Linked DNA regions of Saccharomyces cerevisiae S288C. Each later gene encodes a partner of the first gene's protein in a complex. Each region holds a gene or a part of one and is shown on either strand. Other genes may lie near its edges.

Region 1 (2,530 bases):
GAGAGAATAGTTGACGAACGGAAGCTGGATATCAACATAAAATAATGAGCTTACCCGATGGATTTTATATAAGGCGAATGGAAGAGGGGGATTTGGAACAGGTCACTGAGACGCTAAAGGTTTTGACCACCGTGGGCACTATTACCCCCGAATCCTTCAGCAAACTCATAAAATACTGGAATGAAGCCACAGTATGGAATGATAACGAAGATAAAAAAATAATGCAATATAACCCCATGGTGATTGTGGACAAGCGCACCGAGACGGTTGCCGCTACGGGGAATATCATCATCGAAAGAAAGATCATTCATGAACTGGGGCTATGTGGCCACATCGAGGACATTGCAGTAAACTCCAAGTATCAGGGCCAAGGTTTGGGCAAGCTCTTGATTGATCAATTGGTAACTATCGGCTTTGACTACGGTTGTTATAAGATTATTTTAGATTGCGATGAGAAAAATGTCAAATTCTATGAAAAATGTGGGTTTAGCAACGCAGGCGTGGAAATGCAAATTAGAAAATAGTATTGCTGTATAGTACATAGAGGTCGACATATATATATATATATATAATTTTATATGGCATCTAGAGCCTCTAGGGATATTATGGAGTTGCCCCTAATGACGGTCTGCAAGCCTAGCTGGTGGTTATTGGCAGGGTCTTCACCATTTATCTCCATTGCATCATCAAGAACGACGTTTAAGAAAATATCGTAGCCTCGCAAAATTCCTGCCACTTTCCTAGATCCATTTATATTCAGCAATATCTTCTTGTCCATATATTTCTTCAGTTCAGGGGTAGAAACCATTGTATCTGTGCGTGTGTTTGCGTAATCCTGTCCTATGCCGGATACTCTATATGCGTTGTACTTTCTTATACATTCATTGCACCTTTAGAGATTTAATTTTTCTTACCACATTGTTTCTATCAGCACAAACGTGAAAGAGCGTAGGCGAGGCTATAGGAAAAAAGGGAAATGAAGAACAGAGGAATACTCGAACAATGCCACTGACAAACGTATGCGTGACTACCACGAATAGTCATGATGCAATGTACCCTCATATATCCCACTAAAAATATATACTTACTAATGGTTTATGCACGTGAATATCACGTGAATCGTTTTTAATGATGACTCGTTTTTAGAATACTTTATCATCTCGAACGGCTGTTCCCTCATTGGCGAGAAGTCTCCGCGGAGCAACTTAATGGAAACTTAGTGTATTATAATGCTAATAAACAATTTGATGATAATTCGTACCCTTTGACTCACCTCGAATATATATAGATATATATATACATATAACGTATATTTATATATATACGGTTTTGTTCGATTGTCTCTGTCGTACCATCAAAGAACATACTAACAGTTCACAATGTTAAGAATCAGATCACTCCTAAATAATAAGCGTGCCTTTTCGTCCACAGTCAGGACATTGACCATTAACAAGTCACATGATGTAGTCATCATCGGTGGTGGCCCTGCTGGTTACGTGGCTGCTATCAAAGCTGCTCAATTGGGATTTAACACTGCATGTGTAGAAAAAAGAGGCAAATTAGGCGGTACCTGTCTTAACGTTGGATGTATCCCCTCCAAAGCACTTCTAAATAATTCTCATTTATTCCACCAAATGCATACGGAAGCGCAAAAGAGAGGTATTGACGTCAACGGTGATATCAAAATTAACGTAGCAAACTTCCAAAAGGCTAAGGATGACGCTGTTAAGCAATTAACTGGAGGTATTGAGCTTCTGTTCAAGAAAAATAAGGTCACCTATTATAAAGGTAATGGTTCATTCGAAGACGAAACGAAGATCAGAGTAACTCCCGTTGATGGGTTGGAAGGCACTGTCAAGGAAGACCACATACTAGATGTTAAGAACATCATAGTCGCCACGGGCTCTGAAGTTACACCCTTCCCCGGTATTGAAATAGATGAGGAAAAAATTGTCTCTTCAACAGGTGCTCTTTCGTTAAAGGAAATTCCCAAAAGATTAACCATCATTGGTGGAGGAATCATCGGATTGGAAATGGGTTCAGTTTACTCTAGATTAGGCTCCAAGGTTACTGTAGTAGAATTTCAACCTCAAATTGGTGCATCTATGGACGGCGAGGTTGCCAAAGCCACCCAAAAGTTCTTGAAAAAGCAAGGTTTGGACTTCAAATTAAGCACCAAAGTTATTTCTGCAAAGAGAAACGACGACAAGAACGTCGTCGAAATTGTTGTAGAAGATACTAAAACGAATAAGCAAGAAAATTTGGAAGCTGAAGTTTTGCTGGTTGCTGTTGGTAGAAGACCTTACATTGCTGGCTTAGGGGCTGAAAAGATTGGATTAGAAGTAGACAAAAGGGGACGCCTAGTCATTGATGACCAATTTAATTCCAAGTTCCCACACATTAAAGTGGTAGGAGATGTTACATTTGGTCCAATGCTGGCTCACAAAGCCGAAGAGGAAGGTATTGCAGCTGTCGAAATGTTGAAAACTGGTCACGGTCATGTCAACTATAACAACATTCCTTCGGTCAT
Region 2 (2,545 bases), on another chromosome or scaffold:
ATGATGCGGACGTTGTAGCCTTGGTGAGCTAGGGCGTCCACCTCCTCAACGGAGCCATCCTGTGAGTTGTCATCGACAAAGATCAACTCGGTCTTCTTGGCCATTTCAGGGCTCATGCCGGCAAACAATCTGGTTGTTAAGGGTTTGATGTTCAGCTTTTCATGGTAAGCGGGAACGATAACAGAGTATTCGATGCTCATTGTGGGTGCGTGTATGTTTGTGTGTAATTGAAGCGATAGCGTTATTACAATAGCGGTCTATATGAGTTAGGAACACGTAAGAATACTGAAAATTTTTCAAATACTGGAAATCCTTTATTTTTCCACGCTATTTGTCATGCGAGGGAAATCCAGAGGCAGGAATAAGGAAGAAAAATAGAACAATATAAAGCAAGAAAATAAAAAAAAAATACGCGATGCGAGTGCTATAGAATGATATTGTATTACAGTAGAGGGCGTATGTAAATATACTGGTATGTAAGGGAGATGAGCACAGTCGTCTTAGTTCGGCAGCTCCCTGATGTACAGCACGTTATTGCAGCGGATGAATATCTCGCCCAGGGTGCCGTGCGAGACACCCGCAACAAACTCTTCTGCTTCGTTCAGCTGCAGGTTAAAGTAGTTGTCCGTGGACACGAGCGTACCTCTATATTCGGTGCTGTTGAACTTAAGCTTGACGCCTACACGATGGTTGACCAGGCCTTTGAGGAACGGCTTCGGGTTCACCGGCTGCATCGCGCTGATATCACTGCTCTCGCTCATTGTCTTGTTGTGTTGTGACGTAGTGTGTGGTGTGGTATAGTACGCGGTGCTGTGTGTGCTGTGCTGTTTTTGCGTTGCTCATAGAACCGTTGTTTCTTGCTCTTACCATCTCATGTTCATATATGTTGGGGAAAAGAGGTGGAACAAGAAAAGTTACCCGGACGGCAGAGCGGTTGTTTTGCCTGCTTTGCCATAATACAGGATGGGATCACACACCCCCCAAGCCATGCTACAACTTGGAAGAGTGCAATTCAAGTTGGTTGTCCTCAGTAGTTTGAGAGATTGCGCTAATTTTGTTTTATCACCGTTATTTACTGTCAGTTGAGATTTGTCGCTTGCGACGACTAGCCCGCCGCCTCTCGTTTGTTACAAAGGAGGAAAGTTCTAGCAAGAATAAAAGAAAAACACGTTTGAAAAAAGAAAAAAAGATACTTGTTGTGATCTTTCCACGTTCAGCAAGACACACAATTAACTGAAGCCAGTGTTTATCTGTCTGTCGCCTGCCTCCCCTTCCTCTTTTCTAGCCATGGACTTCGAGACTAATGAAGACATCAACGGGGTCCGTTTCACCTGGAACGTGTTTCCCTCTACTAGAAGCGACGCTAACAGCAACGTCGTCCCTGTGGGCTGTTTGTACACACCTTTGAAGGAGTATGACGAATTGAACGTTGCCCCATACAATCCAGTTGTGTGTTCCGGTCCACACTGTAAGTCGATTCTAAATCCTTACTGTGTGATTGATCCGCGCAATTCGTCCTGGAGTTGTCCCATCTGTAACTCCAGGAACCATTTACCTCCACAGTACACCAACTTGTCACAGGAGAATATGCCGCTAGAGTTACAGTCCACCACCATTGAGTACATCACCAATAAGCCCGTTACCGTTCCTCCCATTTTCTTCTTTGTTGTGGATTTGACTTCGGAAACCGAGAACCTCGATTCGCTAAAGGAGTCTATCATCACTTCTTTGTCTCTATTACCTCCCAACGCGCTGATTGGGTTGATCACTTACGGAAACGTTGTTCAATTGCACGATCTGTCCAGCGAAACTATTGACAGGTGCAACGTGTTCAGAGGAGACAGGGAGTACCAGCTCGAAGCGTTGACGGAAATGTTGACCGGCCAAAAGCCTACCGGCCCCGGCGGTGCTGCATCTCATCTACCGAACGCCATGAACAAAGTTACGCCCTTCTCTTTGAATAGGTTCTTCCTGCCCTTGGAACAGGTCGAGTTCAAACTGAATCAATTACTGGAAAATCTGTCTCCAGACCAATGGTCTGTTCCAGCGGGTCATAGGCCATTAAGGGCCACAGGTTCCGCTTTGAACATTGCATCTTTGCTTTTACAGGGCTGCTATAAGAACATCCCAGCAAGAATCATTCTTTTCGCCTCCGGTCCAGGCACCGTGGCCCCAGGTTTGATTGTTAACTCAGAGTTAAAAGATCCCTTAAGATCCCACCACGACATCGATTCTGATCACGCGCAACATTACAAGAAGGCCTGTAAGTTTTACAACCAGATTGCACAAAGAGTTGCCGCCAATGGACACACTGTTGATATTTTTGCCGGTTGTTACGATCAAATCGGTATGTCTGAAATGAAACAGTTGACCGACTCTACTGGAGGTGTGTTGTTGCTAACCGATGCCTTCTCTACCGCGATTTTTAAGCAATCATACTTGAGATTGTTTGCCAAGGATGAAGAAGGGTATTTGAAGATGGCTTTCAATGGTAATATGGCAGTCAAGACAAGTAAAGACTTGAAGGTACAAGGTTTGATTGGGC

The links. The genes of interacting proteins can lie anywhere in the genome.
Region 2: SMX2 (region 1) and SMX3 share a complex: the UniProt entries of both Saccharomyces cerevisiae proteins name them as parts of the sm core complex.

Annotation. Positions count from the first base shown.
Region 1 is NC_001138.5:101,977-104,506, reverse strand, and holds SMX2 (mRNA splicing protein SMX2), read right to left. Parts: upstream 809-2,530; coding exon 575-808; downstream 1-574. Other genes in the region: GNA1 (glucosamine 6-phosphate N-acetyltransferase), read left to right, coding at 45-524; LPD1 (dihydrolipoyl dehydrogenase), read left to right, coding at 1,380-2,530. UniProt on the Saccharomyces cerevisiae protein: Plays a role in pre-mRNA splicing as a core component of the spliceosomal U1, U2, U4 and U5 small nuclear ribonucleoproteins (snRNPs), the building blocks of the spliceosome.
Region 2 is NC_001148.4:898,410-900,954, reverse strand, and holds SMX3 (mRNA splicing protein SMX3), read right to left. Parts: upstream 762-2,545; coding exon 501-761; downstream 1-500. Other genes in the region: DPM1 (dolichyl-phosphate beta-D-mannosyltransferase), read right to left, coding at 1-200; GTPase-activating protein SEC23, read left to right, coding at 1,288-2,545. UniProt on the Saccharomyces cerevisiae protein: Plays a role in pre-mRNA splicing as a core component of the spliceosomal U1, U2, U4 and U5 small nuclear ribonucleoproteins (snRNPs), the building blocks of the spliceosome.